2 linked regions of the Tribolium castaneum genome follow. The protein of the gene in region 1 purifies or fractionates together with the protein of each later gene. This does not show direct contact. Links are inferred from orthologs where the notes say so. Each region holds a gene or a part of one and is shown on either strand. Other genes may lie near its edges.

Evidence for each region.
Region 2: the proteins of scra (region 1) and pnut purify together in Drosophila melanogaster (affinity purification with western blotting; 3 studies listed by BioGRID, with this or other methods). This does not show direct contact. The link is inferred for Tribolium castaneum from reciprocal best matches to the Drosophila melanogaster genes scra and pnut.

What each region holds. Positions count from the first base shown.
Region 1 is NC_087396.1:20,581,123-20,590,431, reverse strand, and holds scra (anillin), read right to left. Parts: upstream 8,579-9,309; 5' UTR 8,422-8,578; coding exon 8,404-8,421; intron 8,351-8,403; coding exon 7,972-8,350; intron 7,913-7,971; coding exon 7,743-7,912; intron 7,397-7,742; coding exon 7,196-7,396; intron 7,144-7,195; coding exon 6,540-7,143; intron 6,492-6,539; coding exon 6,332-6,491; intron 6,201-6,331; coding exon 6,104-6,200; intron 5,625-6,103; coding exon 5,490-5,624; intron 5,441-5,489; coding exon 5,047-5,440; intron 4,998-5,046; coding exon 4,830-4,997; intron 4,406-4,829; coding exon 4,002-4,405; intron 3,943-4,001; coding exon 3,748-3,942; intron 3,667-3,747; coding exon 3,494-3,666; intron 3,420-3,493; coding exon 3,326-3,419; 3' UTR 3,174-3,325; downstream 1-3,173. Other genes in the region: grsm (probable aminopeptidase NPEPL1), read left to right, coding at 1-82, 1,182-1,323, 1,376-1,506, 1,803-2,027, 2,080-2,225, 2,465-2,621, 2,667-2,954, 3,008-3,148; ZnT86D (zinc transporter 7), read left to right, coding at 9,010-9,196, 9,243-9,309. UniProt on the Drosophila melanogaster protein: Required for cytokinesis. Essential for the structural integrity of the cleavage furrow and for completion of cleavage furrow ingression and proper formation of the midbody.
Region 2 is NC_087394.1:33,632,954-33,637,092, forward strand, and holds the start of pnut (septin-7), read right to left. Parts: upstream 2,801-4,139; 5' UTR 2,197-2,800; intron 2,146-2,196; 5' UTR 2,009-2,145; coding exon 236-2,008; 3' UTR 1-235. UniProt on the Drosophila melanogaster protein: Involved in cytokinesis and possibly cellularization. Also acts as an enhancer of the sina gene, thus having a role in photoreceptor development. May be involved in p53-dependent apoptosis.

The sequences.
Region 1 (9,309 bases):
CAGACATAATACTCCTTCAAGGGCTCATGCAATCACCCGCCTGGTGCAGAGCTGCACCGTGGGGCTCGACGAGAGCATTGTGGTGAGTGAACAACTCATCGAGAAAATTGTTCCTTTAAAATAAATTTCGAGAACCTTGAAATTTTTTAACAGCGTTTTTTACGATTGCTGATTATTTTATTAAGGATTTTTTTTCTCAAATATTTGTGTTTCTTGTTAAAACGCTCCAAAAATGAGAAACCAATGTCATTTTAGATCAATACATGTTTTAGTATCTCACTTTTTTGCATTTTAGCTTGAAAAAATGTTTAATCCTCGAAAAATAACACCACTTTGTATCAAATTTGGCGATTTTATTTGACCAACTTTTAACAGAATTTTACGAAAAAGTGTTTTAAAAACAGTTTAGGTTTATTATTTGACAAACTTTTGTGAAAAAATTAATTAATACAATATAATTCTGGATAAAAAGCGACTAAACAATTGGATTTTTGACACAGTTATTATTAGTGAATTTTCAGCACGTTCAAATAATTGCAAAAATGATGTGTTTTTGTAATTTTTATATTTGTGTTGATGAAAATTTCTATAAAGAAAAATGCACAATGATATAATTTACGACCCAGTTTCATGATTTTTTTATGTGATTTAAAATAATGTATTATCGATACAGAGAAATTTTTAACGATTAAGATAAAATAAAAAATTGAAACTTGATATAATACCATTTATGATCATCATGCACTTGAAAAATTATTCCAAAACATTTTGACATAAATTATCTTTTATATCATTGATAAAAAAATACAGCATAAGTGCAGGATTTAGATAAACTTCTCATTTGAGAGCAATGACCTTGTTGAAATATTTAATTCGATGACTTTTTAATTATATTGTTTGTTAGAAATTGTACGAAACAGTTGAGTATCTGTAACTAAACGCTCGAAAAAGGCAAAAATTCTCAAAATGCGTGAATAAAACCATAAAACAGCAAAACAGTGTTATTTATCGCCCAATATCACGAAAAATGTTATCTCAAAAATGCCTTGAAAACACTGGGTTTTAAAATTTTGTCTTATTTTCCATAAAATGTCTAATAAATTATGTTTTAAAAGTTAGTTCATCTATTATTGTATATTTTACTTCAAAAATATCCTAATTTTTTTTTAATAAATTAACAGATAATTTGCGAACGTAATGATGTGTACGCAAGTGGCTGTGCTGTGGCCCGGGCTTTTCCCCTCTACAGCCGCAAAACGGGCTCCAACACCACCGAATATTCAACAGTTTCGGTTGAATTCGTAATAGTTCCATCCAACTCAGGTGGGTCCCAACCCATTTTTTTAAATTATTTTTTTAAACTGCTTTGATTTAGACGAAATAGATGGAACTGAACTCAGCGCCGAAGAACTGAAAATCCTCGATGATGCCGCGACTGGAATCCGTCTAGCCGCTCGTATCGTCGACACTCCGTGCAATGAAATGAACGTCGACCACTTCCTTCAGGTAATTCTATTTCATTTCATGATTTTTTTTATTGTACACAAAATTTATTAATTATTTATTATTTACACTTTTAATTTCGTGAGTCATAAGCAATTCGTTTAGATTTATAGAACTAGTGAGTGTGTAAATCGCGTAAATAAATGTTCATTGGGGTAAAAAATGCAGTTACACAATGTATGTAACCTTGACTTCCACCTAAGGCATCGCTTTGCCACATTCGTCCGTGTAACAAAGTGGTGCCCAACGTGGGGCAAAGTGGCGCCCAACGTGGAGCTCACCCCCAGTTAAAATTACAGGAAATTCGCGAAGTCGGAGACGCTCTAAAAATCCAACCGACAATCATCCGGGGCGAAGAACTGGCCGAAAGGGGCTTCGGGGGTATTTATGGGGTGGGCAAAGCCGCTAATGTTCCCCCAGCACTCGCTGTGTTGAGCTACACCCCTCAGGGGGCTCATTCGACCATTGCGTGGGTCGGTAAAGGCATTGTCTACGATACCGGCGGTTTGAGCATCAAGGGAAAAGTAACAAGCATTTTATTTTTATTTTTTGCTGTTGTTGGTACAGATGTTTTAGACTGCCATGCCGGGCATGAAACGTGACTGTGGCGGCGCTGCTGGGATTCTGGGGGCGTTCTATGCCGCAGTTAAGGCCAACTTTACCCAGAATTTACACGCCGTGTTTTGTTTGGCCGAAAATGCCGTAGGGCCCAATGCCACAAAGTGAGTGTTTCTATTGTTTTTTCCAAAAAATAAATACTTCTAGTTATGTTAGAACTAATCTTGTCTTTAAAATGGGAATTTTGAAATTGAAATAGTGGAGACTATGAAAGTCTTGAGTAATTGAGATTTTTTTTATTAAAAAAAAAAGTATTTGTTACCAAAAAAAATACCAAAGTATTTATTTTCTGGCAACTTGTAATACCCTGTACAGAATGATTACAATATGTGGGTGTTTGTAGACCCGACGATATTCACACCCTTTACTCAGGCCGCACTGTAGAAATCAACAATACCGACGCAGAAGGACGCCTTGTCCTCTCAGACGGCGTTGCCTTCGCTCAGAAAGATTTAAAAGCCAACGTAATTTTAGACATGGCAACGTTGACTGGAGCTCAGGTGATACAAAAGTTCATAGAAAAAAAACTCAAAATTTAAATTTAGGGTGTCGCCACTGGTAAATACCACGCAGCTGTGCTCACAAATAACGAAGATTGGGAAAACATGGCAATGGAGGCCGGCTTAATTTCGGGCGACTTGGTTTTCCCGATACCGTTCTGTCCCGAGCTACACTTTTCCGAATTTTCTTCGGCCGTTGCCGATATGAAAAATTCAGTGGCTGATCGCAGCAATGCTCAGTCGAGTTGTGCGGGGCTTTTCATCGCAGCCCACTTAGGATTTGATTATCCCGGAGTGTGGGTTCATGTTGATATGGCAACGCCGGTGCATTGTGTAAGTTTAGTAAAATAAGTGAGTTAAGACGGTAGTACAGGTTTCTGTAATAGGGTGAAAGAGCCACCGGGTATGGGGTGGCTCTCCTGACCACACTGTTCGGTAAGTACTGTAAACAACCGTTACTTAAGTCCATCGGACCCGATTTGGACGTGAAAAACGAAAATCCGGCGAAAAAATTGAGGAAGAAGTAATTTTATAAGGTTAAAGAGTGTCATATTTACTTAAAACGTATATTGTGTTTAAAACTTATGCTTCAATAATTTTGTATCACTACAAATAAATTTTATAACAATTATGTCATTTGCTTGTTAAAATATTTATACAACTAGCTGATAAAAATATAAAATAGATTATATAAAGTATAAAAATTACTTGTTAGTAAAATTAATGGCGGCCAAGGCCGAATTAAATTTGTTGCACCACTCGATCCTCTCTTCTTTAGTGTCAGCGGAGAGGAGATGTCTAAAAGAATTTATAAAAAAAAAACGTAAAATTTTCAGTTTTGATTTCCGTTATTTTGTAAAACTTATAATTACCTGATGATAGTTTTGGACCCCTTTCGAACGGTCACCAAACTTTCTTTGTCATGAGAAAGTGCTTCACGTTGAGTTTCAATAAGAAAAGTGTGAAGCCGAGCACAAATTTCCCGACTAACAGGGCCCACTTGTTTCGTGATTGCGTCTCGCAAACTTATCGAATTAATCGGTGGCTAGAAATAATAATAGAGTTTATTAATTATAAAAGAGATACGATAATTTAAAAAAAATGTCCACAAGAAACAAGAACTCACAGATTTCTTTTCATCATCTGGGTATTTCCAGTAGCTCAAAGTGTCGCCTTTTAACAGACACCACCGACGATGCCAAGCCCCAAACCCGGAAACATCTTCAAACATTGTTAAAAATCCGCGATGCTCAATTGTCACTGACAATTCGTAGGAAAGTGACATTTCAACAGTACCTTCCAACGGACTCATTGACGGTGTCTAGAATAAGAAAAACCTCAAAAAAATTAAACAACACATAGATTAAAATCAATTTTTACATTAATCAAAGACCAATGTTTCTGATTAATCGTCTTTAGTGAAAAGACGACGTAACCCATCAATGCAAACGTTGGGGATCGCACCACTTGTGGTCCAGCTGGTGATTCTTTGATTGGTCGCATCAAGCGTGAATCTTTTGTTTTTTTCGGTGTTAATTTAGTGTTGGGTTTTTTGATGTGATACTTGACTTCATGTGGGAGAATCTCCTCTTGTGCTTGAAGACAGTACACTTCAAATGTCACAGCAAAGTCGCTGTAGACATTTTTGAAAGTGATTGTGCCCGGGATTTGTAACTCAAGTTCTGGGTTTTTGCTGTTTGAGGCGATTGTGGAGACGAGTTGCGTTGGTAGGACTTGGTCCGAGTATTTTGTGAGGCATACGACATGGTGGCCTTTACCTCCAGCTAAAATTTAGACACAGAAATAGGTTGGTTCTAGGAGCTTTAGAGGAATACTTAATTCTTTAACAAAAAAATTCATAACTCAAAAACTAAAAGTCGTGGGGCAAAACGGTTTGCTCTAATGAATTTTGCGGCTCATTTTACGTATTATACCAGCTGTTTACAACACTAGCCTACTCAAGAACATGTTTAAAAAATATATTTAAAATTGAAAAATGGTGGATGCGCCGGGTTATTCATTAAAAATTCATAACTGAAAAACTAAAAGTCTTACAGCAAAACTGTTTATTCCAGTAAATTTTACGGCTCAATTTATACATATGCCAGCTTAATTACAGTGAAATTTTTTTTTTGAATAAATAATAACCTTAGCGAATAAACTTAATAACAATGGATAAGTTGTAGAAAATGAAAAAAATGAGCCTACCTGCAGAAAGCGCAGTGACGTATTTGTGTTTGAGCGGAAGCACGATTTTAGACAACGTCAAAGTGCCTTTTTCTAGTGGAAATTGTCCGCTTCTCTCCGTTTGCGCTTTGAGTGTTTTTTCGACTTCAAGTCTTTGACTTTCAAGAATTGCGGCTTGTCGCCGATGTGCTAAAAGATCGGTTAATTTTCCGTCCAAAATTCAAACTTAAAAACTCACTTGCAACAAGAAGCACTCTCTCTGCTTCAACTTGTTCAGTCGATCCCATAAACTCCGGTGTGGAATTGCACAAATTGAGCGCTTGACTCGTTTGCGAAATGATCATTTCTTGCTTACTCACTTCGTTTCGCAACTCGCGAATTTTCGCCCGGATTTGCTCCTCTTCCGCGGATTCTTCCGGGGATTCCTCAACCGACATTGCCCGGATTACTTGTCGTACGGGCGGTGTCGATACTTGCGTTTGCTGTTTGCGGTAAAAACTCACAGTGTGGGTGAGAGGAAGGAGATTATCGCCGTCTACCACATGGGTTGGGAGTTGGTCAGGTGGTGTGATTTTAGTCGGGGTTTTAAATTCCGGTTGGAAGCTTTTGTAGTTGAAGGAATTGGACGTTTCCTGTAAATTTTTTTAGTTATTTTGTGAATTTTTGGTCGGTTTGCATTACAACTGGCGATTTTCGCTCTTGCTTAGGCGGTGTTGGACCGTCTTTGTGGCCATTGTAAGCCAAAGCTTCGTCGATGTAATCGTCCATATCGTCCAATACATCGGACATATCGCTCGCACTCTCGTCCATTATTTGCTAAGAAAATTCAATCAAATTCCAGCCAACGTAACACAACTGAAGTGGCTCACAATTGTTATTTTTTTGCGAAAGCCTCATTTATTTTCATTATATCAGTTTAGAATAAAATGAAGTGATTTAAAATTAAACTTAAAATTAAGCGTTCGAGTTGCAATGAAATTTGATAGTGAATTTAACTATTTTTTATTTTATTGAAAATTTCAATACATACTCCTAGTTTAGATTTTTTTATAAAAAAACTAGACGTTAAAATCGCATGAAACAATACAGTCCCATTAGTAAGCTACAATATCTCAAGAATAAGTCAAGGAAATTTTTATCTCCGACTCAATTTATTAACATGCATTTGCAAAAAATATTTGTTTTTTTATTCGCTTCAACAGTTCCCGTAACCTTAACCCACCTAAATAAATTTTAGTCCACTTCACTTGTGGCGCGATTTAAGCGTTTTTAATTTCATGAAGCAAAAAACTTACTCTTTTTTGTGGCGTTTGATTCTGGCAAACCGCTCGCAGAATATCTCGACCGAAACTGGTATTAGCATCGTCAGATTCAGCAAAACTGTTGTCGCTGCTAGATCAAGGGAAAAAACAAACAGTTGTAGTAAAATAGTTATATTACACATATAATACAGTCAAAAAAGAATACTAATTGTTTAAGAAAGACATAAAAGGAATAAAATCCAGTCGGTAATTTTATCGCACCTGTTTGTTGTTGGACTCGGACTCTCATTCTCAGTCTCAGTCACTGACTCAATATCCGTCAAACTTGGGTATAATCGGCCTGTTTTCTGCGACGCCACTTTGATTCGCTTCACTTCGCTTAGAACAGCCGCCACTTTCGGACTATCGCCTTTACCTGTAACTAACTCAATTGATTAAATTAATCAATTTGAAAAATAAAGAAATTTACGGCTTCTTTTGCCACTGCTCCTTTTTTCCTTCGGACTAACAACAGCAACTTTCTTCGCCGATTTTTCCTCAATCATGGCCGTTTCTTCCGTATCATCATCAAACTCCTCCTCGTCATTGTTCTTATGGAATCTATTCAACAACAAATCCATTTCTTTCTGCCTTTGCTCCCTCACATTACTCTCAATCTGTTCCTGCGAAATTGTGCTTTTTTGCTCAAACAAAGCCGCAACTTTATTCGCAATTCCTTCGCCCCTTGGTGTCGCCACTTCTTTTTTTGGTGATGGTGGCGCAGGGACTTTTTTTTCTTTCGGGACATCTTTTTTGATAGGTGTTGCCATAGCAAATGGGGCTTTGGGCACCAAAGCTGCGCCTTTGTTTTTCTCAAACAGGGCTTTCCTTTCCGAAACTGATAACAAAGCCGGATCTTTTGGCTGTTTGTTGGGACTTGATTCAAAGAAGGCCGCTTTATCAGCAATTTTACTTTTTTGGGGAGAAGAGGCGGGTTTTGTGGTTGCTTGTTCATTTTCTTTGTTTTGTTGTTGCGCCTTGTATTTGTACACCAATTTAGAGCTGGATTCTGTCCGCTGGAAGCCTTGCGATTCCTGGAAATGCTCGGGAAATTACATTGTAAAGTTCAATTTATTGGAAAATTACGAGAGAATCGAGCACTTTCTTATCCCAATTTATTTTCTTCTGTTCTTGTTTTTCTTGATCTTTGATGGGTGGTTCTGGGGCTTTGTATTTTGTCGCTGATTTTGGTGGCGTGTTTGGGGTTTTTGGTTCTGGGGGCTTGGGGGCTGGGGGTTTCCACGATTTTTTTGTTTTGGCAGGAGAATTGTCCCGCTCTTTACGCACCTAAAGGCACGTTTAAATAAAAAATTTACGTTTTCTTCGACTTTCCATTTGGTATTTAAAGACATACTATCGATATTTCATTAAATATTCTGTAATTTTTTATTTTTATAATAATAAAGCAACGAGAAACGTTGTTAATTGTGGTTATACTGTAATGTTAATTATTCAAAGCCTGTCGCATAATTGCATTAAATTACTTTAAAAAAATGTACGTAAATATCCCACAAGTCTTACAAGTTATATTGTTTCGATAATTGTTGGCACTGACGTAAGAAGCAATACATAATTAAACAGAAAACAAGACATGAAAAAGTTAATTGAATTTAACTTTTTTACAATGACTTACTGGAGTCAAGTCGTCCTCAAACTGATTGACCCTCTGTGCCAAGTCGGCCAGTTTGCTCAGCCCCCTCTTATTCCTTCCGTTTTCTGCCGGTGTTTTCGTTGGAGACCCATGTGCACAAAATCTAGCTTCTGTCTGATGAATTGGCGAAGAAATGTCCGCATCGTCGCCCCCTTTGTCCCCCAATCAAAACAAAAATAAACCCGAGTCAAAGCAAAGCCTTCTCTCTTACCTGCATACAATTTCCCCAACCGATTTAGCCTATTTTTAGCATCCTGTCTCAGACCCCCGTCACTCCTATCATCATCACTCTGCTCCTCAATTTGCACTTCAACATGAACATTATCAGCCGAACTTACTTTAATTTCCATGTTAAAACTATCGTTTTGTATATTTAGGCTTTTATGAGAGGTGAAATCGGATGAGATGTGAGTGCGTGTAACTGTTGGCAAATTACCTTCAGACTTGGAATTGGCTTCCAACTTGGGCGAATTCGAGCTTAAGTTAGGTTGAGACAACGTTACTTTACCGCTGCGAGGGGGAGTCTTCCTCAAGTCACTGTTGTAGTCTTCGAGGAGTCTCTGACGCTCCCTCGCCCGAGTTAGGAGATTCTGCGGAAAAAACAAGCGGAAAATCGGAAAATGGGGCGAAAGTGCGCACGTACCTCCGTAAACGAGTCCATTTAAGTGCAAGGTCGCCCCGTGATAAATCAAATTCACACTTTGTGCATAAAGTTTGGTTGTTGATAAATTACCGTTGAAGGTTCGATTTGAAATAGCACTTCGGGAAAGCGCCACCGGTGGCACTGTCGCCCATAATCCAAAATCTAGGGACTTCAATTTTGGGAAAAAACTCAAAATTACTCAAAAAACGACCAAATTGACCACATTACAACTTTGAAGATTATTTTACTTGCACAAAAACACAAACTTGACCCCAGTCTTGATTCCAGTCACTAGTCTCAATTAAAAAAACTTGTAAAGAAATTGGTTGGTCAAGCTGGGAAACTGACAGTTGCCAAAATTTTGACAGTAGTTCCGACTTTTTGAGTATATTTTGCATTTTTTTGCCAAAAATCCTAATTTAAATAGTGTACGTGTCACACTAGCTGATAAAATGAGCGAATTATGATTACCTGAAGTCGGGTTGAAGCAAAATCAAGTGTAATGGCAAAATTCAAGTTGGGTGAAACACGTATGCAATTTTATCAAAAAATCTGATAATGACCGGTCTCTGCCTGTGAATATCGGCCTTCCGTGACGAAATCATCATGTTGCCACTGTCGCACAAGGATAATTTGCACCGGGGCTTCGGGTCCCGAATTAAGGAGAAGTTGAACGGGTGGATGAGGTTAATTTTTTCCGACAGGAACTCCCGCAATTTGTTTCTGTTCCTGCTTCTGAACCTCTCGTTTGCGTTTGTAGAGTTAGTTTATGGTGTATGGTCTAATAGCTTAGGTGAGTTGTTGTGCTTGTTACTATTTTCGTGAAATGGTTGTTTTAGGTTTAATATCCGATTCCTTCCATATGTTTTTCGACTGTACTGGCTTATTAGCCGGCTTGGCCGCGTC
Region 2 (4,139 bases), on another chromosome or scaffold:
TTCATTATCTCTTAATGTACGATCTAAACAGCTCACAAGTAATCATGGTAAAAAATAGTAAATCGGCACGTAGACAATTACGCTATTTTAATGGCAGTTGTGTATTTGAAAACATAATTTCTCAATCTATTGCGGGAGTCTCACTAGACGAAACTATCTCTGCCGTTAAAGTCACTTAATTAAAGAAATTACCATGAAGTTAAGAAGGTACCACACCAAAACTATACATTCAGTGTTAGAAAAGTCCCTTTTTCTTCTTCTCCTTCTTGCCATCGACGGCCTCCCTGCTCCCTTCGAGCGACCTCCGACGCAGCTCCTCCACCGTGATTTGGTTCTCCTTCTCCCACTGCTCCTTCTCCATCTCGAACTGCCTCCTCTTCTCCTCCAACTCCTTGGCTTGCTGCTCCAGCTGCTTCTTCGTCGCCTCGTGTCTCCTCGTCAGTTCCGCCTCACTATCCTTCAGCTTTTGCTTCTTCTCACGAACCTTCATTTCAAACACTTGCTCCATCTCCGCCTCCATCTTCTTCATCTTGAGATCGTGCTCGCGCTTCTCCTCGTCCATCTGCGCCAGTGGATTTTTGTTCGAAATCCGGGACGGCTTCCCATCCACCCCTAAACCGGCCAACTTGCGGCAACGGTAATTCTCGTAGTGCACATTATTGGTGACGTCCTTCAAGTCCTGGAGATGTGTGCGTATGATCATGTTGCGAAGTGCGATAAAATCACAGTGTTCCAAGTTCTCGACTTCGGCGATCCCCCAGGGGTACTTCCGGCCGCGCACCTTCTTCCCGTCCACTTCTATGACCGTGTTCGAGCCCACCACAGCGAACGGCACGCGCTCCTTCAGCGACTTGTTCAGCTTGTGCTCCTCGTCGTCTTCGGACGTGTCGGGGAACTCGTAGATTTTGATCTTGTTCTGGGCGATCTCGTTCAGGATTTGCTTCTTGAAGAGGGCGCATTCGTCGGATGTGAGCGTGTCGGCCTTTGCTATTATGGGAATAATGTTCACTTTATCACACAAACGCTTCATAAACTCTATATCGAGGGATTTTAAGCCGTGTCCCGACGGTTGGATGAAGTACAAGCAGCAGTGGACCCGCTGGTCGGGGATTTGTTTCCGGGTGACGCGGGCCTCAGAGTTCAGGTAGTCCTCGTATTTGGACTCGATGTATTCGATGATGGGGGCCCAGCAGTTGCTGTTGTCGACGGCGTCGCCGAAGCCGGGAGTGTCCACCATGGTGAGGAGGAGGTTTACGCCGTTTTCCTTGAGCATGACTCGGGTGGTCTCCACGGCGACTGTCTTCTTGAGGCGCTGGGTGGGCCCAGGGTAGTCGGTGGCGTTGTAGATTTCTGTTAGAAACATCGAGTTGATTAGGGTGGATTTGCCCAAGCCTGACTCCCCCACCACCATGAGGGTGAACTCGAAGCCCTTCTTCACGGCCTTTCGGTACACCTGGTTCGGTAGATTGGCAAAGCCGACGTAACCGTCCAGTTCTTTGAGTTTAGGCCGTTCCTTGACAATCTCAGGGGTGGATTCCTTGCTGTCTTCTTTGGCCGGTTGTTCTGGGGGTGTCTTGGCCGGGGGTTCTGGCGGTTTAACCCTGTTGGAGTCCTTCGTGTCGGTGGTTGAAGTGAAGAACATCTCTCGTTTGGTTTGGATTGAAGTGGCTTCACTGCCATTTGTTTGGGTGGTGATGGTGCCATTTGTGGGGCTTTGCTGGTCCATGAATTTCTGCCTCATGGCTAGTCGGTCCAGGCTTGAGAGGCGGTAGGAACCCCCGATGCTGTCCTTGTCCCTGTCCCGGTTGAGACCGCTCCCGGCATTGAAGCTGGAGGTGTACTTGGGGAGGGTGGGCGGCGGCGTGGGTTTGTTCTCAGCGTTGCGGTTGAGAAGGGCACTGCTAGAAGTGTACAAGTAGCTGCTGGGCATGATGTTGGGTCTGGACTTGATGGTGGCGGTGGCTTGGGTGGTAGGGGCAGGTTGAGCATTCACATTGTTGGCACTCATTGTGGTAAAACACCTAGTGGACCTACACTGCCATTGTTATTCACTTCGCGATTTGTGATGTCAAATTGACAGTTGGATGCCGGGTATGAGTAATGTTTGCTTGGTCAGCCACGCCCGTGGCGTCTCTTCCGCTCCACCTAAAACAGCCCCAATCAGGCCCTGATAGCCAAGATAAGCGGGATTATTACCGATAACGTACAACTTTCCACCGTTTTATCACTATTATCAGTAGCAGCACATGCGGGTCACCGTCACTCCGAAACGAGTTGAATTCAACTTTGGTTTGCTTGTTGTTGAAGCCAGATGGCGAGGCTTGGCGGGGCTGTGGGGGGGCGAGCGAGTCGCCGTAGTGGGAAAAAGGTGCAATCGACCAGAGGAGTTGTGGAGCGTTTGGGGCGAATTGTCGTTCTGCGCACAGCTCGGCAAGGGACAGAAATCGATAATGAAGGCACACATCACGCACATTTCGCAAAACCAATGGCGATATTTTTCTAATGAGACACGTTTTGAATCATAATCGGTTTTGTTGCACGTGCAACGTAATTCCACAGGAAAAATAAACCGGTCCTTATTTCGAATAATACAGTGTGTTCGGCTTTGATTTGAGCACTGGGACCCCTTTGTGGGTTTATTTTTAAACCGGGGCTTGTACGTTGTCGACGGACACGATGTTTCATTCAAAAAAACACATTTTTTACGAATTCAAAGTCTGATGATCATTTTGTTGTCCCACTGTTTTGAGTGTGGTCAAGATCCTAATTTCGGATGAGTGCGCAAAATCATCTTCAATTTAAATGTTTCAAAAAATACGTTAAACGGTAATCATGTAACTTTAAAATTATTAACAATTTTTTCAGGTTTTTATTGAACAATTTTACTGAAAAGGTGACAATCATTGTTTTCCTGTTGTTTTATCGTAGTTAGCACCAAAAGATATCACGAATTTAACAATTACACATTTTAATAACAATAATGATAATTGATTGTGTAATTTATATGATAGATAGCATAGATTAAATTAAATTCGCAGTTATTCTCATTCCTCAGTGATATTCAATGCGGAAAACGAACACATATTGCACGTGTGCGGAAACCTGTACCTGGTGCCTTAAACGTAGTGAAATTTATTCCTTTTCACTGGAGTCATCTTCACACTTTTTTATTTATAATACGTTTAGTTACCCAAATTTTGTAATCCTTACAATAAGAATCATTAATTAGTAAAGTCCGGATTTTAGGTCGAAAGAAACTAAAAAAGGCCAATGTTTAGGTTTACAAAAATGCAATTTACCTTAATTTTGTTAAAACTTTAAAAACCTTCTCGTACATACAATATTTTATGCAAGGAAGTGATCTCGATTTCTGAGTCGTAAAAAAAGTTATCTAAAATGAAAATTATTTGATCACTTGCTTAGCAACAGAAATTTACTTCATTATAATTGTTATTGAAAGGACCTATATATATATTTTTTTTGTATATTGGAAGTTTAAAAACGTACATTTTTAAATAAATAATAATAGCTTTTGAGAAACTTATCCTAGGAAGGATGTTTATTTTGATAACCCAAGTGTTTACCTAACATTTTTCGATCTAATAAGTTACCTGCTATGGTTTTCTAAAATTTCTACCAACTATTATTAAAATCATCCCGTATGTTCTACGTTCATTGGCATACTATTTGGTTATTATCAGTCAAAAAAAGGACATTTCAGGTAGCATGAGGGTATGATATAATAGATATAATGGGCACATATGTTCGCATTCTTAAAAAAGTATTTCAGCAACGTTTTCTTTGTACACCATTAAATTTTTATTATGATTACCCCAATCCGCAAGGACCCTTCAAGCTAATCAGGCAAGCATATTGTGTGATTTATTGCAGACAGGCTGTACTTTTTCAGAAGAACCGATCGGTATCGTAAATATTTTCGGTTTATCTTTTGTAAAACTCTATTGTGTACAAAGAATTTGCTACAACATACATGCAGTCGCTTCAATTTCTTCACCATACTTTGTTTTCTTTATAAATTTCATAAACTCTTACCTCGGATAATTTTTTAACAACTTTCTCGCCAAAAAGTGTTTCCAGAACCATCTTAATAATTAAAGTCTAACAGTTTCTGATCATTC